3 linked regions of the Drosophila melanogaster genome follow. The protein of the gene in region 2 purifies or fractionates together with the protein of the main gene of each other region. This does not show direct contact. Each region holds a gene or a part of one and is shown on either strand. Other genes may lie near its edges. The genes, in order: Prp31, Ndc80 and Spc25.

Region 1 (3,753 bases), on a different chromosome or scaffold from region 2:
GGCGGGAACAGTTCTTGTCGTCTTCAAACTCACCCAAATGAAAGTCACCAATGGAGGTGTCTATGAAGCACACTCCATACCGGCTACAAGTTCCCTCATCCTTCTCCACTATGGCCAACATATAGTTGGGCTGATGATTCGGCCCGATCTTGCACTGTGAGCCAAAGACCTGGGTGCCACGATTGGTGATCTGGCAGATCTCGCGGGCCACCACTTTGTCGAACTTGGTGGCCTTGATCCGCTTGCAGCGCTCAGTCATCATATCTGGAGTTTCCGTTTGCTCAACGCGAGCCACCTAAAGAAAAACTTGTATTAGTTTTACTGGGAAAAGGAGCTATCCTTGGACAAATTACCTTGAAGCCCCTGTCTACGAGAATGGTGGACATCTTGTCGAAGGATATCTCCGGGAAACCGGAGTGAGCAAACTCGCCGCGCATGTAAGTGAAGCCCAGCTCGTTGACGCCCACATCCGCATCCATGTGATACAGTTCATAGAACTTGCCGACTTTAAAAAACAAGACGCAGTCATAGTTGTCCGACTTAAGGACCCACCACTGTCGAACTCCCGGCGACAGGCCATTGAGGAACTTCTCCGGCACATGCAAGGTGCTCTTATCGTAGTCCGGATGATCTGGACGTCTTCCCTCCTTGTCCTTGATCTTGTCCGGTTGCAGGAACTCTAGTTTCTGGTGCGGCCAAACAACGGGCTCATCCAGATTGGACGTGTTGGTCACGATATCATCGTAGGAAGCATCCTGCTTGGCATTGCTCTGCAGGTTCTTCAGCTTTTCTTGAAAGGTTGCACCCTCGGCCAACTGGATGGTCGACTCTAGCTTGACCTTCTTGCTCGATGGCTCATTGTTATTGTTGTTATTCAGAATCTTAGACTTTTTGCGCGATTTCTTGGGTGTCGGACTGTCCACGGACATGTCGTTCTCGCTAGGCGACACCTCCTCCGCGCCGCTGCTAACGCTATCATCGCTGGCTTCATTCTCATCCGGTTCGTAGTCGGAGGCGCAATCGGAGAAGTCGTCCTCCGACTTGGTTACCTCCATTTCCGGCTCACTGTCCGATTCCGGCTGAACGATGCGCTTCCGCTTGCGTTGACCACTGGCCGGCTCATCGTCGGAAATGGGCAACTTCCTCTTGGCCGCCGGCTTGGAAGCCTCTTTCTTACCATCCTTCACTTTTGGCTGCTGGTTCTGGAGATTCTCCTTTTCGCTCTTGGATGCATCGGGATCTGTTTTCACGCTAGGAGTCAATTTCTTTTTGTCGAAAGCTGGCGACTTGGAAAAGTAATTTAGTAGCGTGTTTGTGGGCGTCCCGCCCACGCTGGTGTTTAACTTCTTGGACATGACAATGGCCTAGAAACGTCTGCCAGGTTACTCAAAAAACCAGGATGCAGACGCTGCGATTGTGCGCCAAAACCAAAAAATATTCTGTCAAATTGTGGCTTAATAATACCGAAATAGTAGCTTGACTATTTAGTATATTTAGGGAACTCGTGCCCGTTGGAATTTTCGAATACCACTGAGGAGATTTTATTTTTTCGTTACAATTTGATGCTTCTTATATAATAAGTCATTTTTTTTCATTTTTGATCTGTGTTTATCTAGGCTTTGTTGTCCCAAAATAAATAAAGAGTGATAGTTAAGAATTAAGCAAAACAATTGATAGCCATACCTATATTTTCATCAACCTTATATTTTCAACCATATTTTCAATTCCTTTACTTTTAGATACAGAATTCTAATTAAGCAGGAAAATCGAAACTTTCCAGAATAATAACAAGAGTTATGATATTGGATCGTTCTGTTCATGAAATGTTTATTGAATTTGGTCAAATTGATCAATTAAAATCCAGTGGAATAGCCTTATGGTATTCTTTAAATGAATACCCTATATATTTCATGCTAATACTTAGTATTTTTTCAATGAACCGCATGGTATTCTAAGGCGGCTGAGCAACGGTCACTTCAATTCCAAAACAAACTTAATTTCACGAGATCGCAAAATAAACTTTTGAAATAAGCCAAAATGTCGCTAGCCGATGAGCTTTTAGCCGATCTCGAGGAAGACAATGACAATGAGCTGGAGGAGGAGGATTCGGAGATGGCCAGTGCAGAGGACGAGAGCGTAAGGAACCAAAGCAAATGTTGATCAGACCTAATGATTCCCCTCCCACAAAACAGTTGCTGGCGGAGAAGCTGGCTAAGCCGGCTCCCAATCTGATGGACGTGGATGTAACCGTGCAGTCGGTGCGGGAACTGTGCAAGCTGCGCGACTCTGAGCGCCTGAAGAACACGCTGCAGCAGATCGAGCACTATGCCAGTCGCCAGAGAACTGCAGCCGAAATGCTGGGATCCGTAGAATCCGATCCAGAGTACTGCCTCATCGTGGACGCTAATGCCATAGCTGTGGACATTGACAACGAGATCTCCATTGTGCACAAGTTCACCAAGGAGAAGTATCAGAAGCGATTCCCCGAATTGGACTCCCTGATCGTGGGTGAAATCGAGTACTTGCTGGCGGTCAAGGAGCTGGGCAACGACCTGGACCAGGTCAAAAATAACGAGAAGCTGCAGGCTATTCTCACGCAGGCCACCATTATGATTGTGTCAGTCACGGCGTCCACCACACAGGGGTAAGTTATTTGAACGGTGTAACCCAAAATAACATGTCACTGAATCCCATTCCCTTTCGCAGAACCATGCTGACACCGGCGGAGAAGGCAAAGATCGACGAGGCCTGCGAAATGGCCATCGAACTGAATAACTTCAAGTCCAAGATCTACGAGTATGTGGAAAGTCGCATGACCTTCATAGCCCCAAATCTTTCCATGATTGTTGGAGCATCGACGGCGGCTAAACTCTTGGGCATTGCTGGTGGCCTTTCCAAATTATCCAAAATGCCGGCCTGCAATGTTCAGGTGTTGGGTGCACAAAAGAAAACCCTCTCGGGCTTCTCACAAACGCAGATGTTGCCGCACACTGGCTATGTGTACTACTCACAGATTGTGCAGGATACTGCGCCAGATCTGCGACGCAAGGCAGCTCGCTTGGTGGCCGCCAAGTCCGTGCTGGCTGCTCGTGTTGATGCCTGTCATGAGAGTGTCCACGGGGAGATTGGACTGCGCTTCAAGGAGGATGTGGAAAAGAAGCTGGACAAGCTGCAGGAGCCGCCGCCGGTGAAGTTCATAAAGCCGCTGCCCAAACCCATCGAGGGAAGCAAGAAGAAGCGAGGAGGCAAACGCGTGCGCAAGATGAAGGAACGATATGCGCTGACAGAGTTCCGCAAGCAAGCGAACCGCATGAATTTCGGAGACGTAAGTTTCTGGCTTAAAAATATAATGGTTATGTATTAATCTTTGAACTTTTCTTTCAGATCGAAGAGGATGCCTACCAAGGAGATCTGGGCTATTCACGCGGCACCATCGGCAAAACTGGCACCGGCCGCATCCGATTGCCCCAGGTGGATGAGAAGACCAAGGTGCGCATTAGCAAAACGTTGCACAAGAATCTGCAGAAACAGCAGGTGTACGGCGGCAACACCACGGTCAAACGCCAAATCTCCGGAACGGCATCCAGTGTGGCCTTTACGCCACTGCAAGGTCTAGAGATTGTGAATCCGCAGGCGGCGGAGCGTTCGCAGACGGAGGCCAATGCCAAATACTTTTCAAACACATCCGGATTCATGTCAGTGGGACAGCGGACCACTTAAGAGAACAGCTCTATCCTTATTTTCTATAAAATT
Region 2 (3,753 bases):
GGGTGTACAGACATTATATACATATATATATATATACATACTTGCATGCATTGTATTTGCGACTCTACTTAAGGCAAGTCCACCTTTTGGACTGGCTCTCCACCTAATCGCAATCTCTCGGTTTCTGTTGCTGCATGTTCTTAATACTATTTCACCTAGCTCCCCACCCCTCCCCACATATTATATTCAATTTTTTTTATTTAACCAAAATTTTAGTTAAAAAAGAGACAATTCAGATTGTAATCTATTTAGGCAAGTGGTAGGGTATCTCTAGCATTAGAAGAAGCTAAAAGTAAAAACAATTTCGTAAAACCAAAATTTTTTCTCTAGGATCATAATTATTAAGCTGAGCTAAAAACGAAAACAAATTTTAACTAACTAAGAAGGGACAAAATTGAAATAAGATCAAAAAAGGAAAACATGTACATTTTGGAAGAAAAATCAAAGTCCACAAAATTTTAACGAATGAGAGGCAAAAAATCAGACAAAAATGAACCACAAGAGAATGAAAAAAAAAAACAAAAATGGAAATAGGTTTCTAAGATGTTTTAATATATTTTGTAATAACAATGCTCGAGTATTTTTCATGTATGTAGTTTTTGATCCAAAATTGAGCGATCAACAAAGGCAAAGGGGTTCTCAACGATCGGTTCCTCGAGAGGATTTGCCAATCATCGATCATAGGGCTCTATTGCTGAACGCTTTGTTTTGGGCACAACTACCTCCTCCGCTTGGCACCGGCAGTAGCCTCGTCTGTGGAGGATCTGGTGGTCCGCTTCCGTTTCTGGCTGCTAGGGGGCTTATCTTCGGCAACTTCTTCTTGGGATTCGGATGCCTTTGCCTGCTTCTTTTGGGCTTTCGGTTGTCTCTTCGTTTTGACCAACTCTTTGGATTGCTTCGCTTCCTTTGAATCGACTTGAGTTGGCTCTTCCTCGGATTTCTGTTCCTTTTTGGATTTACGCGAAGTTGAAGTTGAAGTTGGTGCCTTCGTTTTTGATAAAAACAATATTTAGTTAATTTTTTCTGGACTTATTGGGCCTTCCCTACCTCGTTTTCCTGTGCTTCCTCTGTGGACTCCGACTTCTTTGGCGATGCTAGAGCCTCGGACCCCGGTAAATCAATTTTAGATAACTTCTGCGTGTTGATCTGTTCCTTGGACTCCTGCTGGTCACCTAGAATCCCTACAATCCGATCGTATACCTCCTCCACAGTGGGAAACTTGCGAGCACGTGGTGGACCCCGCTTTAGACCCGACCAAAGTGCCACCTGCTCCTGCTTTCCCATTCCGCCGGCGCTCAAACTTAACTCGAAGGCTCCTCGCCGTGGTGCTCCAAGTGCATTCAGCTGGAGCTGAAGCTGTTGGAGACCACGCTCCCGGAGAGCGGAGTGCAGCTCCTCCGCTCGACGACGAAAGACTCGTCAGGATCGGCAGTGCTCTACGTAGAGCACCGGCGCATTGGGATCCAGCTCTTCGCCTGCATCCCGCTCAGCGATTGGCGCCTGTAGAATCGTTTGGAAATGCATTTAGCTATTGAAATAATGTAGTATTTCAATCGTACCTCTGCTTTTTTGTTCCGTTTTGGTGGCATGATCCTAAAGTAATCAGAATTTTTAAGTAAATGGCGCACTTTTTATTTGGCAGTGCTGCCAGATGGTTTAGTAACACTAGGGTGTCAATCGCGACTGCATCCCTGGAAACTATCGATTTGCCGATAACAGGCGTTAAACGACGCGCGATTCCCAATCAAACTGAGTAAACATTTAATTTAATCAACGTAGTTTCAATAACGCCAAGATGTCGCACCTGATGCCCCGGCGGACCAGCGAGTTCCGTGGCGATGTACTGGAGGAGCGAGGCACTGCCGATAAGCGGCAAACCAGGTGAGCATCGAAATCCAACTGATCAAATCTTGTCAACGATGCAAATGCGTATCCTTTTCCAGGGCAACAAAGCGGAGCGCAGCCACGCACACTCCGTCCTCCAGCCAGGCGGCACCCAGAAGGTATGCACAACCATTTGATTATCGAAGGCACAACCAGTAATGTTTGAATCCAATCCGCATAGGCCGTCCGCATCGCGTCTGCCGCAGCCGCTGAACTTGGAGCGCGATCGGGCCAGTCAAATGGGCGTGACGCCCAAGCGAGGCCACCGGTTTGTGCCCTCCACTGCGGAGCGCGCCATTGCGCCACACTCCGACAAGAAATGGGTGGCGGAGAGGGCACAGCAGATCCTGGAATACCTACATGGCATTCAGAACAGCGAGGCGCCCACTGGACTTATTGCGGATCTATTCAGTCGGCCCGGGGGTTTGCGACACATGACCATCAAGCAATTTGTTTCCATTCTCAACTTTATGTTCCACCACATCTGGCGAAATCGCGTGACAGTGGGCCAGAACCATGTCGAGGATATTACCAGCGCAATGCAAAAGCTACAGTATCCTTATCAGGTAAGCAACTCGGATGCTCTTAGGTTTCCAGTGTTCGTTTAATTCTTAAATCCACTTGTGACTTGCAGGTGAACAAATCATGGCTTGTATCGCCAACAACACAGCATTCATTCGGCCATGTGATCGTTCTGCTGGACTTTCTCATGGACTTTTTACCGCCTCTGCCCTCGTCGGATGTGGTGGAGGAGGAGTTTCCGTTTATGGAAACCATGGAGCAGCCCAGCTCGTATCTGAATAGCATGCACTGCGAGTCGACGACCATCATGTCCACCACACAGGCGCACGCCATTCAGCTAGATGAAGACGTCAATGGTCTGCTCTTCGAAGAGGCTAGCAAATGCATTGCCTTGTGGGATCAGGAGCTTACCAATGAGGAGGCCAAGCTGCAGGCGGAGACCAGGGATCAGGTGATCAGCAAGAAGTGTGATTTGCCCGATCGCAAAGCCTTAGACCAGCTAATCGGCGATCTGAAGACGAAACTACAGCAACTGGAGAATAAGTTGCATGATCCCAGTGAAGACAATAAACTGAACAAACTGGAACGTCTTACCAAAGAGCACGATCAGCTTGCCCAACAGCTAGCTGCCAGTGAAGAGGAGCTGATCAAGAAACTGAAGTTATACGAACAGCTGTCTGCCCAGGTAGAAGAAAAACAGTCTAATCTCCGCCAGCAAATGAAGTATGAAAAGCGTCTGGAGCAGGCGGTTAACAGGCAGAAGTTCTCCGCCCAGCAGCTAAAGGAGCTTCAAATGAAGTGCGACGATATGGAAAACTACTCCAAGGCTTATGAGCGCCAGGTGAAGGAGGTGTCCGAGCTGGAGCTGCATCAGCAGGTGATGCTGTCGCGCGCCAAGCAAAAGCAACTGGATTCCGTTGAGGTCTTTAACTCGCACGTGCGCCACCTGAGCATGGACCCGGTGATTTGTGGCCTGATAAAGAGCGGCATTGGCCAGCAATCGGACCTTACTCTGCCACTAAATCCCAATCAAGAGGACATCTCGGAGAGGGTGCAGTGCCTGGAGTTGCTGGGCAAACTTCTGCAACAGCACCGCCAGCAGAATATCGATCGGCGTCAGATGTTGGACAAGCAGGTGGCCAAGGTAAAGTCTGATTCCATCGAGTTAGACACCGAAATCGCCACCATGGACTCTCAGTTGCGGGCGCAGAAACAGCGTCTGACCAAAATGGAGGCCAGTTATCGGACCAAGCGCGACATGCAGGCGCAGCACAGGCAACAGCTGCTCGAGGATCAGTACGACCAGACCGCCCGTCTGGATGAGTTGGAGAAGAGGGAGAAGCAGGC
Region 3 (3,753 bases), on a different chromosome or scaffold from region 2:
GGTCTCATTCAGGCAATTTAGCTCGTCGTCTGTCAAAGGCTCGCTCTCAATGCAGCCATCCTTGTTGATTAGCACAAACTCAACATTGACTACGTTGCGTCCTGAATTTGCGTTTCCATCTCCACATCCAAGATTTAGCTTTGGCTGACTTGAGGCCAGCAGATTGCCCGTTTTGCGGGAATAGAGTGGAAAAGCGCGAACCACCGCACAGGCGCTGGCGAATAGATTCTCTCGTTCGCAGACGAGCACCACGCTCTCCTCGGAAACGTTCAGCACATGGTTCTTTACCAGACGAGTGATGGCATGAGCCCGGGATGCCGTATTGTGTCGGGATGCCTTCAATGGCAGGGCAGCCACGGTGGCCACATCGAGATAGAGGGATACCTTATCGGTGGGCGCGGGATGCAGACAAGCGACGGCATTCAGGAAGGTCTCCTCGGTGACGCGCGGACTGAGTTTGCTCTCCAGATGACTGAACTTCAGTAGGTTTAGATGGCGCAGCTGGCCGATGATCAGGACCGGATGTGTCTGCGGATCACTGCAGCCTAGCGACTCGTTAAACTTTACGTCCGTGGCCATCTGTAAGAGAATGTGTGTGCGAATGAGTAAAGAATGGAATGGCTAGCCAAATCCCAGTGATAAGCCGCCGGTATTATCTTATCGGTGCTAATCTGGTGTTTAGCGCTCCAAGTGCCCCACTTGCTTATCAGTCGACGACTTTGCACCACAGGGGCGGTCAATGGATGCAGCCATCCATAAATCACGAGAGCCAAAACCGGCGAGATAAGCAGTGGCATTTGGGTTATGGGTAGGGCCATCTGGACAAACACAGGGGCGTTACTCATCGGTTGCAAGCGGATGCAACGCTGTAGGGGAAGTTTAAGAATAGCTGACCCATATTAGAATGGCTCAATTAAAGTAGCTCCATTGTGAAAAATACTGCAGTATAATTTTATAACTAAAATTCTAATAAAAAACAATCAATCAATAATTATGTTTACAACTAAAAAGCATTGGGTTCATAAAATGAAGCTTCAAAAGAAAAAAATTACCTCTAAAATATTTTAACTATAATAATCACCTAATATACATAAATATAAATTGTATTGCATTTATAATGAACAAATTAAGATAAATTGTAGTAGCAATATGAATTCTAATAATTTACATAACATTTTCTGAGTTTTAGCGAATATTAGAAAATCTTATAAAATCAAATAACGTTTTTTTTTACAAATTATTAATTTTAATATATTTTGGTACAATAACTTAACTAAGTAGTTAACATTTTCAACTTAAAGCCATCAATTTTCCAGCTTTACAGTCGCAAGGCAATAAAAACATAAACTACCGAAAAGATATCGTTCAGCACATATCTTTACGATGCTCCATAAACTCGCATGGGTTTTATAAGCACGATATCATTGTGCATAAAGCGATTTAAGTTTCTTAAAATCGCAAATGCCACATGACCTTGAATTCGGTGCAACAAGAACAACAAGTGGGTCGTTGACCGACTCGCAGCATTCGAAACCGAAAAGTGGATAAACATCTAATTTACCCATTTTCAATTGGATTTGACTGGACACTCGATATGTAGAAATATTATGCAAATTCTATATTCTCTATTTTTAGACTCTTTGTTCGCGATTTCTTCGTTTGCAAAGCGTTTTTTGCACATTTTCTGCCTTTTTATTCGCTCACCTTTTTGAAGCGGGCGCTGCTGTAGGTGCGAGCGAGATGGTTGCGTATTGCCTGGACGCAGAGCAGCAAACGCATGAAGTGCCTGCTTCAGAAATTGCACAAAAATTTGCCAAAAGTGCCGACGTTTTATTTTTATTTTATTTTGCTGCCAATTTGACTTGCAATTTTTTGCTTGCCGGCTAATAGAGATGTGACTTGCACGACGATAAGTCGATGTCAGCTATCGATAAGTGCAGAACCACTTTTTTCTTTCAGCCTGGCCACCCTGCTGGTGTCGTGGAAGTGTCATCCCTAATGAGAAGTACCACCACTAACTGGAAAGCAAAACAAGCGTCTGGAAAACGGCGCTTAGTTTTTAAAGATTTTAATTGATTGCAGTAAATTGAGTTTAAAATGGCAATTATTATGACTGAATCGAGTTACGAAAGGCGCGTAAAGGCTTTGTACGAAAAACAAATTCACATGGAAGCCCTCGAGGCGAAATTCATCAAAAAGGTCTTTAAATTCAACAGCAATTTGTGTGAGTTGGAATTTATCTCCATATATCTCCATTTCAATTGATATATTTCACTAAATATTTTAGTGGATGTCAAGGAAGCAGCTTCGCGCCATCAGCGGAAAGTGGGAAAGTTGCAAAAAGTGCTCATGGAGCGGCGGGAGGAGTTGGACAAGCGAGTTTCCTTCATAGAGGAACTTGATCGAGAACTGGAGGCCACCAAACTTCACAATTTGGCCATGAAAGATTGGTTTAAACAGCAGAAAATGCTGGCCAAACAGCGCAAAAACGAAATCATGGAAAGGTCAGGGATTAGGTCAAAGATAATCATATTAAGATTTTCTTAGCACGAATGGCTAGCTAATATTTTCCGGGCTCCAATGGGTTCGATCTTGTCCTTATTATACATAAAAATGACTATTCATATTGATTTTTAGTCCATCCAAAACTACTATTGGTACAAATATATGTATATGACAATAATGTATTGTCAACATTTATGGTCTTTACATGCGTACAAGTTGCAGTGAGAGACTAATCAAATACTTTATTTACTTTAACTAAATCTATTAGGAGCATCATCAAAGTCTATAAACTGCAAATAATAGATATAGTTGAGGTCGTGTTCCAAATAACTTATTTAGCTTACATACATAATTTATTTGCATAGCCTCACATGCGCTCTTATTTTTCAAACAAATCCGATTTTAATGCGGTCAGTTTTAAACTTAGTATACTATAATGAGAGCAATGTGTGTTTATTTGTTTTATTTTATAGCATTCACACGCTGTCGAAGACAACAAGAACCTATATAAATCAAGAAGCGCTGCCGGCACGTGTGAAGGGTGTCACTGTACTCCGTGGCGATAAACGCGACCAGTTGATACCCTTTGATCTGAAGGCGACCGATGTGGAAGGACTGGACTCACTGTGTCAGCATCTCGAGAGTCTAAATGTGGACGTGGCGCAGTGGCAGCAGCTTATCTCGCTGGCCATGGACATGGCTATGGAGTCACGTGCTCCCACTACTCCGCCCAAGGAAGCAGACAATTGCAAGTCTATAATCGAGATTGATCTCACATCGCCGATGAGCCACACCTGACTTCCGATTAACTGATTTACTTGGATTAGGGGGAAGACCCTTTTCCAATGGAGCACTTTATTTTAGCATTATAAATAGTTGGCTTCCAATAAAAGCTCAATTGGGAATTCATCTTAACGAATTAAGCATCTTATTATAGCAGTTTTTTAGCCATTTAAGTACTGCTTGTAATTGTTTAAGTGCAGTGTAAATTATACATATATCTCCCAAAATTTTTTTTTTTTTCTTTTTTCTGATATATCATCTTCACTGGAAGCTTAAAAATTTTTAGAGATATCGCCAAAGAAGAGATATCGCGAAAGGCTCCAGTTTAAGTAGTTCCAATTCAAACTTATTCAAATTAAAAACCAGTTATTGAATTTATTTTAAATCAAAAGTCTTCTTATCATATTTAACCAAATTTACAACTTTAGTGATAATTATATCATAAATTTGGTTTAATGAGTTCTC

The links.
Region 1: the proteins of Ndc80 (region 2) and Prp31 purify together in Drosophila melanogaster (affinity purification with western blotting; one study listed by BioGRID). This does not show direct contact.
Region 3: the proteins of Ndc80 (region 2) and Spc25 purify together in Drosophila melanogaster (affinity purification with mass spectrometry; 2 studies listed by BioGRID). This does not show direct contact.

What each region holds. Positions count from the first base shown.
Region 1 is NT_037436.4:15,157,133-15,160,885, forward strand, and holds the start of Prp31 (Pre-mRNA processing factor 31), read left to right. Parts: upstream 1-1,967; 5' UTR 1,968-2,037; coding exon 2,038-2,136; intron 2,137-2,192; coding exon 2,193-2,644; intron 2,645-2,706; coding exon 2,707-3,325; intron 3,326-3,384; coding exon 3,385-3,720; 3' UTR 3,721-3,753. Other genes in the region: Msh6, read right to left, coding at 1-295, 354-1,355.
Region 2 is NC_004354.4:13,610,008-13,613,760, reverse strand, and holds the start of Ndc80 (Ndc80), read left to right. Parts: upstream 1-1,698; 5' UTR 1,699-1,795; coding exon 1,796-1,881; intron 1,882-1,943; coding exon 1,944-2,003; intron 2,004-2,065; coding exon 2,066-2,450; intron 2,451-2,518; coding exon 2,519-3,753.
Region 3 is NT_033777.3:12,959,739-12,963,491, forward strand, and holds Spc25 (Spc25), read left to right. Parts: upstream 1-2,006; 5' UTR 2,007-2,097; coding exon 2,098-2,224; intron 2,225-2,287; coding exon 2,288-2,504; intron 2,505-2,978; coding exon 2,979-3,303; 3' UTR 3,304-3,511; downstream 3,512-3,753. Other genes in the region: grsm (granny smith), read right to left, coding at 1-579. UniProt on the Drosophila melanogaster protein: Acts as a component of the essential kinetochore-associated Ndc80 complex, which is required for chromosome segregation and spindle checkpoint activity during meiosis and mitosis.